Linked DNA regions of Mus musculus. The protein of the gene in region 1 interacts with the protein of each later gene in a biochemical or structural test. Links are inferred from orthologs where the notes say so. Each region holds a gene or a part of one and is shown in the gene's direction. Other genes may lie near its edges. The genes, in order: Bcl2l2 and Bik.

Region 1 (5,918 bases):
CTTCCCCTTTTCAAGGAATAAGGATCAAGCAGTCTCAGGAATGAGGTGAGAATAAAACTTATACATGTAAAGAAAGATCTGTGGCTCACACCTGCAATACCATTTGGACTGCTGGCATAGACAGATTGTGAGTTCAAGGTCAGACTGACCTACAAGGAAGAGAGAGAGAGAGAGAGAGAGAGAGAGAGAGAGAGAGAGAGAGAGAGAGAGAGAGAGAGAGAGAGAACAATCAAAACAATCAATTCCCATAATGGATTGCTACTATGATCATTGTGGCTTCTCCGGTGACCACACAGACAAGTGGGAACATCAAGGTTTAGTGGGAGAAGCAAGGGGAAGTAACAAGAAAGAACTGAAGGAAAGAAGCATAATTGGGTTGCCTCTTTCTGGCCTTAACTGGAGTTCCAGAGCTGAAGAAATGGCAACCTTCAGGAGTCCTGGGTGGGGGGAGAGGTGGGAGGATCAGCACACTGATGAGTGCCCTCCTGTGGATCTGCTGTAGTCAGAAAGCTTCTTGCCCTGGAAACTTGCTCTACAGAAAGATATTATCACATGCTGGATAGTGGTGCCTCGGGCCTTTAATCCCATAGTGTCTGAGGCAGAGGCAGGCCAATCCCTGTGAGATCGAGGCCAGCCTGCTCTATAGAAGTGAGTTCCAGGGCAGCCAGGGCTACACAGAGAAGAAACCATGTTTCAAAATACACACACACTCGGTTTTTATATATACATATTTTTACATATATATATATACATAAATGCACATATAAATAGATATATGTATATTATATATACATATATGTGTATATTATAAATATGTATATGGAATATATAAAAATATAAAAATATTTACATATACTATACTGATATACTTTATATTTATATGTATATTGATACATTTATAAATTATATATAACATATATATTTATACTTATAAACATATTTATATTGTATGTGTATATATAAAAGCACATATTTATATAAACATATGTGTATGGATAAATGTATATATAATCCATGTATATGTGAATGTAGATATTCACATGTAAATTATAGATATATGTAATCTGTAAAACAGGTATTAACCCAACATTGGTAACCTGTATTTAGAGAGGGTGTGTAAGATTAGTAAGCTTGTATCAATTTGTGCCTTTTATTGTTTGATTTTTGTTTTAAATAGTAAGAATTAACTCCTGTGGTGGGTAACAAATGAAAAGAAAATCAATCTGATTACAAAAGATGAAGATTGCTTGTGGACACTGTAAACCAAGGCCTGACACCTTGATACCTAGCTGAAACTCCAGCCAAGGAAGAGCCCACTGCATTAAAGGTCCTGAGGGGAAGTATTTTTGTGTTTAGTGTTTCTACTAGCCCCACAAGGGCAAGAGGTTGTTCCCAGCTTAATAGGAACTGCTCTGCTTTTCCTAGGCACGCAATCCAAGCTGGAAAGTTCAACAAGTGCGTGAACAGAAGAGACCTTCCGGAAATGCTGAATTTGCACTGAGCTGCTGAGGCCCGGTGTGTTTCTCTGGGGACACTGCGGGCTTCGCAGGCAGCCGGCACAGGTCACTATGGCCTCTGAACAGCCCTTCAATGGCCCTCTCTTCCTGGAGTTGTGGCTCTTCCCAGCCCTGCCTCCCAGCCCCGCCCCTCTCTCTGGACGCATCTCTGTGTCCCATCATCACCCGGCGCCGGGCCCTCCCTCCCTGCCCTCCCCTCCTCCCTCCTTCCTTCCTTCCCTTCCTCCCTTTCTCCCTCCCTCCCTCCCTCCCTCCCAGCTCCTCCACCAGGAAACAACCGGATTCCGGATCCCGGCTGCGGCCTGACCCGTGAGATTCCTTAACCTGGCTGGCGGGCGGGGTTGGAGACCAGCTAAGGGTGGGGGAATGGGAGGAGCTGGGCCTTTGGGCTGCTCTTGGGGGTACCGGGAATAGAGATGGTGTCGGCAGGAAGCCCGTGGTCCCGGGTTTCCCAAGAGGGCAGTCATTAAACACGGAATCGGTCCCACAGCTGGCAAAGCTTTGGAGGTAGGGGCCCAGTCCCAGGCGCTGCAGTTCCAGTTCTTTCCGGGCCAGACCCAGGCCTTTCCCACCTAGTTCTCTCTCCCTCCCCTTTTCAGGGCTCCACTCTAGCCGGGAGGATGAAAGGCCTCAGCTGGGGGCTCCCTGCCACCAGCACTGGGTCCTAAGAGCTGCCATCCAGGCTGGGTAAGTGTCCTCTTCCTTTCTGCCCCATTACAGCCCTTGGCTTTTCCCATCTTCCTATTCAGCCCCTGTCTCCTCCCTATCTTGTGCCTCTGCCAACATCTTCGCATCATGCTCCTGGGGAGGTCTTAAGCCCCTTCCTATAGCCAAAAAGGGGTGTGTGTGTGTGTGTGTGTGTGTGTGTGTGTGTGTGTGTGTGTGTGTGTGTGTATAGAGGTGGCATACAGCTGGTGCTGTCGTATGAAAGGAATCTGAAGTAGTCTAAAAATAAGATTTCCTGTTGCACACTTAATTTGACATGTTATACGTGGCCAGCTGCTTATGCTCTGAACCTCCCCATGACTTAAATCCGTTGCTCTTTCTTGGCCCTGCCCAGTGCCTCTGAGCATTTCACCTATCTCAGGAGCTTGATCAAATAGGAAATGTCCCTTCTTGCTCTCTGTCAATAATTTCCTTATATTTATGTCAGTCTGTCATCCTTGCCCCTTTCAGCCGCCCGGATGGCGACCCCAGCCTCAACCCCAGACACACGGGCTCTAGTGGCTGACTTTGTAGGCTATAAGCTGAGGCAGAAGGGTTATGTCTGTGGAGCTGGCCCTGGGGAAGGCCCAGCCGCCGACCCGCTGCACCAAGCCATGCGGGCTGCTGGAGACGAGTTTGAGACCCGTTTCCGCCGCACCTTCTCTGACCTGGCCGCTCAGCTACACGTGACCCCAGGCTCAGCCCAGCAACGCTTCACCCAGGTTTCCGACGAACTTTTCCAAGGGGGCCCTAACTGGGGCCGTCTTGTGGCATTCTTTGTCTTTGGGGCTGCCCTGTGTGCTGAGAGTGTCAACAAAGAAATGGAGCCTTTGGTGGGACAAGTGCAGGATTGGATGGTGGCCTACCTGGAGACACGTCTGGCTGACTGGATCCACAGCAGTGGGGGCTGGGTAAGAAGTTCTCAATTGCTGCTCTCCGCATCCCTCTACAAAGTTGGTCTTCATGGGAAAATAGGGCCTCTGATGGGAGGCTGGGGTTGTGCTGGGAAGGGCTGAGTTCCCTTATTTAAGTGGAATCAGACTGAGAGCATCAAGCTCACAGTACTCCAGGGCTACCATGTAGTAGTAGCTGGATGGGCTTCACGGTCCCAAGCAGAAGACTGAATATAGAGTTTTATAAACAGAGAACCTTCAGCGAATAATTGTGACCCCTGCGTACATAGTATGGGTGGTGAGGCCGGTCAGGGATGGGTCATGGCTAGGCAAGCCTTAGCAAAGGATGCCAGTTCTGAACGGAACTTTATTGCCATGGAAGGGATGGGGCTGACATCACGTAGACAGTGCAGAGGAGCCAGGAACGGGGTTCGGAGGGGCTTGTGTGCAGTAGAGCTTCGGCTGGAGCAGCTGGGGATGGGGGCAGTGCTCACAGTGGATGGAACTGGAACTCTTCCTTCCCTCGTCTCTCCACTATCCTTTCCTGATCTCCCTTTCTCCTTTCTCTACTTCCCTTCTCTCCCACAGGCGGAGTTCACAGCTCTATACGGGGACGGGGCCCTGGAGGAGGCACGGCGTCTGCGGGAGGGGAACTGGGCATCAGTGAGGACAGTGCTGACGGGGGCCGTGGCACTGGGGGCCCTGGTAACTGTAGGGGCCTTTTTTGCTAGCAAGTGAGAAAGTCTAGGGCCAGGTGGGGCTAGGTGTGGCTAGGGGCCAGGAGAGCTGGAACAATAGCGAATGCCCTTGGAAGAAACTGGATGGTCACGGAACAGAGAAAGGCAGGGGAAGGTAGTGTGTGTGGGAGCCCAGCATGCCAGGCAGGTGGCAGGGAGAATGAGTTGGAAACATTAAGGAATGTTTCAAGGCCAAGAACCCAGAGAGTGGAGTCATCCCACGGCTTGGGGGGTGGGGGTGGGGAGGTGGGAGGAATCATGCCCATATCGCGGGCACACAACTACCCGGAACATGGCTTGTAGCTCCAAGGACGGTGAGCTTACTTCAAAGATCTGTGTCTCGACTAGATGAATGGGATTTAGGGAGCCTAGAATTCACTTCCCTTTGGGATGGAAGCTTGGTGATCAGGTGACTGGGTGAAATGGCTGTGGCTGTGGGCTGCATGGGCACACCTGTGCATGTATGTGCACATGCAAGCATGCTCATGTGCATGCTGGGCTGTCTGTCGAATCTGGTGGTGGGGTACTTAGAGAAAACATTCCTTCTTGCTATGGCAAGAACAAGGGCCAGTTCACTGCCCTTCTCCTCTCTGCCCCTTCCCTTGACCTTACGCCTCCAGGCTGAGGGAGGAACACTGTATCTAGACTAGGGCTCTGGTGCTGCCGAGAGTTGTTGGCAGGGCTTTGGAGAGAAGAGTTCTGCAGCTGGCCTTGTTCTTCATCATCCCCCTGTTGTGTGCATCTGTGCACCTGGGCTGAAAAAGGGTAAGGCTGTGGAGCCTGGGTGGGTAGAAGCTTTGGTAGTTGGACTTGCCTGTCACCTTCCCCTCCAACGGTGGCACAATGGTGCCTAAAGTGTTGCCTGTTTCTAGGGTCTCTCTATCCAGCTGAGTCTAAATTGGGGATCTAGTTTTCCTTTAGAAGATACGGGCATAAATGCTGATCTACAATTCAGTTTAGTTCCTGAACTGTCTCAGTGAGACTGCGGATACCTTGAGAGGACCATTCCAGCTCTGAGTCCCTTGGGAGTGATGGGGACAGGTACTCCTTGACTGGCCTGTTCTGGGTGGTGGGTTTTTGGTGCTGCTGCTCTATCAGGGGCCAGGGATATGGGTTCTAGAGTACCTGCCATGACCTAACGCGTTTTCTTTTGAAGCCATGCTCTTTGCATAGGTTGTCAACACTCGAGTCTCTGAAGATGGTCACATTAGAACTCACAGTCCAGTCCCCTAGAACAAATCCAGACTCTAGCCTTTTCTTTTGAGGGAGGAAATGATTCACTCCAAATGCATGCCCTGAGCCAGACCTCACTGCTGCACTTCCCAAGGTGCTAACATTGCTGCTCTTTAATGCTGACTTCGTTCCCAGTGCTCTAGAACCCTACCTGCCTCTCCTGAGCACTGACCAGCTTGGCTAGACCACAGCTGACCCACCTCTTCACTTGGTCCTAGAATGTGGCATCATATCGTGCTTGCTAGAATGTGGGACCAAATTGGCCTCAGGTGTTTTAGTCCAGACTTTGGCTTTTGAGAGAAGGTTGCACTTTTTCATAGTGTCTATGGGGGATGTGGGAGGCTGCATGTGCCAGTTGGTCTGTTTTGAGGGTGATGATCTAAGAGACTCGGAGCTGTCTGTGACAAGCAGTCAGAGTGGGAGGCTCTGACTTGCTCAGGACAAACTAGGCCAGTGGTTTTCAAACTGCTTGGCAGAGCCCCGAAGTGTCCTAGGGGTTGCCTCAGGAGTCCTTAGGGAGATGAGGGAGTGGAGGGCTGGGCAGTTTGCCCTCAAACAGAACAGCTCCCCCTTGTAGCTGTCTTATGTATCGGGGTTCAGGGTAAGATTTTATTTGTGGTAAGGGCTTTGCTGCTGAAAAAAGTTAGAAAACCACTGACTAGACCATCAGCTCCATCTGGAGCCTGTGCTCCTCCACGTCCAGGGAAGTCTCTGCTCTACCCTTCCCATGGGACACCTACCTAAGGTAGCATTCCTGGGGCCCTTTAGCAAACAGGAGCAGCAGGAACCAGGGTCAGGTTACCAACATGCTCTGCTAGCAGACCTTCAGCCAG
Region 2 (5,984 bases), on another chromosome or scaffold:
ATAAATGTTTCAAAAGAAGGGAAGAGAAGAGCAAATGTGAGCCCTGGGGACAGAAGGTGGCGGTCCCCATTGTCACCACTTGTATTACTTCTTGCATCTGACCCAATTATGGAGCACTAACAGGAAGGCGCACTCTTATTTAAGTGATTTTGCCCCATTTCCCTTCATTTGTCTCTCTTTCTTTTAATTTATTTTAGACAGGGTCTCTTGTACCCCAGGCTCTCCTGGAACTCACTGGAAAACTGTGTATGTAGCCTTGAACGCCTTGGCCTCCCGGCTTCAACTTCCCAAACCTGAGATGACAGGGGTATCAACACACCCAGTTTTTCTTTGTAATTTGAGACATGGATTCTCAGCCTGGTGGTAGTAGTGGTTGGTGCATGCTTTTAAACCCAGCACTAGGGAGGCTGGGGCTGGCACATCTCTGTGAGTTCCAGAAAAGCCAGGGCTACACAGAGAAGCCCTGTCTTGAAAAAGCAAACGAACAAATAAACAAACCCCTCCAAATAATGAATTCTTGCTATATTGCCCGGAACCTACCCAACTTCCTAGTCTCCCCAGCGGCAGGCCGTTCAGGGATTGAGTCACTGTGCTAGCCTCCCATTTGATCAGCCTGTTGCCTTGGGGATCTTGCAGGCTAAATATTTTCACTCACCCCCTCCCCTGGGCCCCTAAGTCCCCATCTGACCTCAAACTGGCCTCCTTCCTCCACCTTGTCTACTGTTTACAGAACGCATCTGCTGACCGGTCAGGTCTTTCTGGACTGTGAGACCCCTTGTCACTGCCTCTCTTCTCTCAGTCTCAATTTTCTGCAAATTCATCTGCAAAATGTATTGGCAGAGAGGCTTCAAGGTCCCCTGCCCCCAACTCCAGGTTGTGACAATCCCTGATGGCTAATGGCCAAAGATCAGGGTTCAATTTGCTTCTGGGCTTGGAGGTGACAGAAGGACCACAGAACTGGAAAGATCTGAGTGGCAGGATTGGAAGGCCTCTAAGATTAAATTCTGCCGAGGACCTTCTAACATGTGGGGGGAGGGGCTGCCTTCCCGTGTCAGGAGAAGATTTAAGGAACCCCAAATATCACCACCCCTCTCCTGACAGGAGAGGGAAGAGTCCAGCTGACTACTTGACAAAGCACGCAGTAGGAGGCACCTGCCCCAGATTCTGACCTCTGCTATCCCGAGAGGAGCTGACTTGGGATAAACAAGTTTTGTTGTTGTATAGATAGTGGTTACTTTGTAATTCGGCCAGTGCTCCATCTTTACTCACCTCGGAGCCCCTGCTCCAGGGCACTGGAGACTGAACTCCTCCCACTTCACCTGTAATTCTAGATTTCACCTCCTACCGATCCTCTCCTTCACCCTAAGTCTTCGCCAAAAGGAGGGCTGGGAGAGCTCCCTATACACCGGGAGAGAAGAGAGAGGGGAAAGGGGGAGATTTGGAGGTGCAGTGCGGAACTTGTAGCAGGCGGGAGCAAAGGGAAGCCACAGAAGCACCAAGCCTTTAGGAGTACTATGAGGACCAAGTAGACAGCCCTTGCTAAGGTTTGGCCGCGGCGATGGCAGAGGCGGCGTCTGCGGAAAGCACACTCGCAGACGCACTGGCGGGGACACAGTAGCAGGTCTACAGGCGACAGAGGAATGTCTGCAAGCTAACGACTTTAAAACAGGGGTTCTGTAGCTACTTATTGGGACCGGGGATTTGGAGCCCCGGAGGGAGGAGTTAAAGGGGCGGGACGGGGAGGGCGCGGCCACCTATCAGGGTCCAGCCCGCCGCTCACAATAACCCGCCTCCAGCCAGCGCCCCCGACTCCGCCACCGGCGTCCCAGCCGAGAGGGTGTTCGGGCAGTTCGCCCGCCGCTACGCCAGCTCAGCTTGGCAGGTAAGCGTCTTGCAGCCCTAGCCCAAGTTGCTGGAAAGTTGGGGACCCGTGCCCAAATCCCTCGGTGGCCCCGGCTCTGAAACGTCCCCTCTGCGTCTGACACCCCAGAAGGTGCTAGTCTGGTCCGCGTGTCTCGCTGTGCGTCCATGCACTGGGGTGGCCCTTGTGTCCTGGTTCTAGGGCGCGCTGAGCAAGTGGCCTTCGTTGTCGCTGTGCCCTGGTTGTCGAAAACTTAGGGGGAGCAGCTTGAGACCAGGGCGCGGCACTGCCACAGTAGGGCGGCCAGGCTGAGCCCGGGCCGCAGGCGGAAGATGGCGTCGGCACCTGTCTCCGCGAGGACCGGAGAGTTCGCATCTGTCCCTCCCTCGGGGATCCTGGGATTCGCACCGTCCCTGCCGCGACCTGGTAATTCACACCTGTTCCCGACAGAATCCAGCTTCGCATCTGTCCTCTCTGGGACCCGGGGATATAGGTCTTCGAGGGGCAGCAGAAGGGCCTTCTTAGGCGACCTGGGTAGTTCAGACCATCATTTCCCCGAAGCTCCTAGCCACCTGCCTGCGCCCAGGCGCAGGGACTGGGAGTGCATCCGAGGGGCCGGCAAGGTCGCCGGTGTACCAGCCACAACCAGCACTGGGGGTTCAATACTTGTGTCACTTTTCCACCTTGTGGCCTTCAGGATGCGGATGCAGGTTGTTTTATAAACTTAATTGCTGTTCTGAAGTGTACTGAACCACCCCTACAAAGTGTTGTTTATTGTTGTTGGCGTTGATGCAGGTGATAACACTGTTACAGGGGTTTGGAGCCAGCTGCAGCTCTCAAGAAGGCTGGTCTCCTACCTACTTTGGGGGATGGGGGAGTTGTCAGTGAACCTTAATTTTAACCTCAGGGAAGCAGGCCTCATTTCAGATAGGCTTATGTCCCAACAGCTACATAGAGCTGGCTCCTTCAAAGCCTGGAGGGCTTTCTTAGAGGCCACACCAACCTCTCTACCTGTGACCTACTTTCTGTTCTGACTGTGTAGCTTTCTACAGGCTCCTCCACCATTCTGGACCTCAGTTTGTTGAGTTTGTAAACTGCGTTGTGGTTTAGCCTGGTGGGGAGGGACCTTTCCCAAGAAGTGGCTGAGTAGCTCGGCAATGCTACCTTGATTTCCACTAGGTTGGGGCATGTTTACTGTTGCTCCTTTACAAGTATACACCTAAGGGTCACCTGGGGTCCTTGGCTGCTTTTGGATCTAGTGTCCTGCCTAGGGCAGGTGGCACTCGTGACCTCCCAGCCTTGCCCCTCCCCACATCTCTCACTCCACCCTGCCAATTTTCTCCCCTCTATACTCCAGGATTTGAGACTTTCTTTGTTTTGTTTTGAGGCAAAGTTTCATGTAGCCTAGGCTGGCCCCCAGCTCACTATGTAGCTGAGGATGGTCTTGAAACTCCTGATTCTCTTACCTTCACCACCTGAGTTCTAGGATTCCAGGTATAGTTACTGTATCCAGGTTATTTGTAGCTGGGGATGGAACTCACAGCTCTGTGTATACTACCATTGTTTTCTTAAGTAAGGCCTCACTATGTAGCAGAGGCTAGCCTCGCATTCTCAATCCTTCGGTTTGCTTCCCTAGTGCTGACTTTTAGTCTGCTTTCTGTTGCTAATAAGATACAGTGCATTGGGTTGGGTTATAAAGAAGTAAAATTTATTCTGGCTTGTGATTCATGTGGGGTTGAGGGCCATCTTGGGTGACTCCCTTTTGTTGGCAGAAGACATACATTGTACATTTTACCCACCTCTCAAAGGTCCGGCCTCTAAACCCCACAGTGAGGTTGAGTTTCCCCTTTAAATACCTCACAAGGGGATTAAATGTCAACACCCCAATCTTTGGAGACCCCCAGGTCATATCTAACTACAGCGCCTCCCCTTCAAAGTCACAGAGCTGCTGTTTCTCAGTTGTTCCTCCAGAGTTAGGTTTTAAAGGTTGTCTGTGCTTTGCTCTTTTTCTATTTCGGAGACAGGGTCTCACACTTTATAGCCCAGGCTGTCTTTGAACTCTCAATTCTCCTGCCTCTGAGATCCTGGGGTTATGGGTCTTTATTGCTTATTTTTTAACTTTCTTAACTCAAAATGTGCACCTTTGCCAGAGGATGCTGGCTCTCATCCCGAGCTGGAAAACGCAGTGTGTCATTTTTCAACTTGGTGACAGGCTCATTTAACTTATCTTCTAAGCTGAACCCTAGTTAGCATTTTAAAGTTAGCTAGATCTGTTTTGTTTCCAGATCTGGGGATGGGACCCTGGGCTTTGTGTATTTTAAGCAACAGGGGGCCAAGAAGCAAGCAGGCCGCCTGGCTTACTTGGGGCATGGGATGCTGAAGGCTCAGTAAAGGGTCTAGGTAAGAGCCCAACACCACCAGAAGGAAGGAAGAGGATGGGGTCCACCTCCCAGAGGAGCCCAGACAACTCTAGTACTTCCTCCTCAGGCTCAAACATTCCAGAGCATATGAAGAACGTAGAAGCTGAAAGGGGAGGAGGTAGCTTGCTACTCTGGCCTTCTGTGATGGAGCTACTCTCCTGTCACAGTTGATCCTTTTTTGTAGCACTGGGAGGTTTATAAGGGGTCATCGGAGTGATACATCCCTGGCCTTTCATCTTCTGATGTCTTTGCTCAGTTGACATTTCTCTGACAACCCCTCCATGTCCACCCTTCCTGACATCTCACCCATTATTTGTTCTGTCCTATGCCCTTGGCTGTCTGAAATAATCTCATGTATTCGTAGCCTGCATGTTCTGTGAGACAAGGAACATCAAATTTTAGGTTCCTGGTGCCCATCATAGCCTGAACTCTCTCTGGATGGAGGGCTTACCTGCATGCTGGTCACTGTAAGGTGGTTGATATACAGTAATGAAATCACTGCTGGATTCGCTGAGAGCAAAGAAACCAGAGCTTGTGGACTGGAGATGTAGCTCAGTTGGTAGAGCGGCGGGATAACACACACAGATTCCTGGGTTCAGCTCCCAGGACCGCATATGCCAGGGGTGGAGGCCAACACTCGGAAGGAAGCAAAAGTTCAAGGTCATTCATTCTTGGCTGCATATTGAGTTGGAGGCCAATGTAGAAAACAGGAGACCCTGCCTTGAAAGAAAAGTCACAGGGTACATACAGTTTGCCATCTTGTCTTATTATGTTCCTTTCCCACCTCTCTTAGTAGAAGGGCAGGGGTATTTGGAAGGCCATATTGACTAGTGAGTCTTCAAGCTGTCCTGCCACACTGCCACAGACAGAATCCCCCCCACCCCCCGGAAAGCATCCTGTTTTCAGTGAGTTGGTTACATTTGTGGACAATTAATGACCCTTGCTTCCTCTGCGGCTGACTGAGTGAATCCTGCCAGAGAAATCACTGTTTTGCTCTCTGCCTAGAACAATTCGGAAGCTGTTTCAAGGAAGTGCCGAACGATGCCCGGCTTTTGTTGGGAGTGGCCACCAGGAAGCCAGCAGCAGGTCTGGACTGGACATGTGTGGCTGCTTCCTTTCTCCTACCCTTGGTTGGCTGAAGCCAAGCCTCAGAGAAAAGTGTCAGCAAATGCGTCCCGGGCAGGCGGGAGAGGGCAGGGCGCAGGGTGGCATGGAGAGGGCAGCTGATTTACCTAGTGTCAACACTGAGTTGTGACAATACAAAACACCCTCTGGGCACTGCCAAGGAAACCTGTTTTTCAGGAGATGGGAGAAAATGTGGTGCCCAGTTACCCGACCTGAGAGGAGGCTCACCATGCTCGGGAGGGGAGTGAAGGAGAACCTACTTGGCCGTCTGGTGGAAGGCTGGGTGCTGGAGACCACTCCAGGGTCCTCCACACAGGGGCATGGTCCCCCCTTGTCCCCGTGAACTGCTCATTCTTGCTGTTTTGCAGAGGACTTTCCCTGGGCAGACAGACAGGTAAACATTTACTGAGGCCATAAAGAGCCAAGTGCCCTATCCAAGTCAGCTGACCCGAGGTGCTGGGACAGCAGAGCCAGGAGCAGTGGAATTCTGTCCTGGAGACAGAGGGCCAAGAAGCAAGCAGGCCGCCTGGCTTACTTGGGGCATGGGATGCCGAAGGCTCAGTAAAGGGTCTAGGTAA

Evidence for each region.
Region 2: the proteins of Bcl2l2 (region 1) and Bik interact in a biophysical measurement, tested with the Homo sapiens proteins (2 studies listed by BioGRID and IntAct, with this or other methods). The link is inferred for Mus musculus from reciprocal best matches to the Homo sapiens genes BCL2L2 and BIK.

Annotation. Positions count from the first base shown.
Region 1 is NC_000080.6:54,881,681-54,887,598, forward strand, and holds the start of Bcl2l2 (bcl-2-like protein 2), read left to right. Parts: upstream 1-1,744; 5' UTR 1,745-1,826; exon of another isoform or gene 1,827-2,024; intron 2,025-2,116; 5' UTR 2,117-2,204; intron 2,205-2,670; exon of another isoform or gene 2,671-2,693; 5' UTR 2,694-2,701; coding exon 2,702-3,133; intron 3,134-3,703; coding exon 3,704-3,853; 3' UTR 3,854-5,918. UniProt on the Homo sapiens protein: Promotes cell survival. Blocks dexamethasone-induced apoptosis. Mediates survival of postmitotic Sertoli cells by suppressing death-promoting activity of BAX.
Region 2 is NC_000081.6:83,525,055-83,531,038, forward strand, and holds the start of Bik (bcl-2-interacting killer), read left to right. Parts: upstream 1-1,807; 5' UTR 1,808-1,882; intron 1,883-2,062; exon of another isoform or gene 2,063-2,193; coding exon of another isoform or gene 2,194-2,287; intron 2,288-5,286; exon of another isoform or gene 5,287-5,800; intron 5,801-5,863; exon of another isoform or gene 5,864-5,980; intron 5,981-5,984.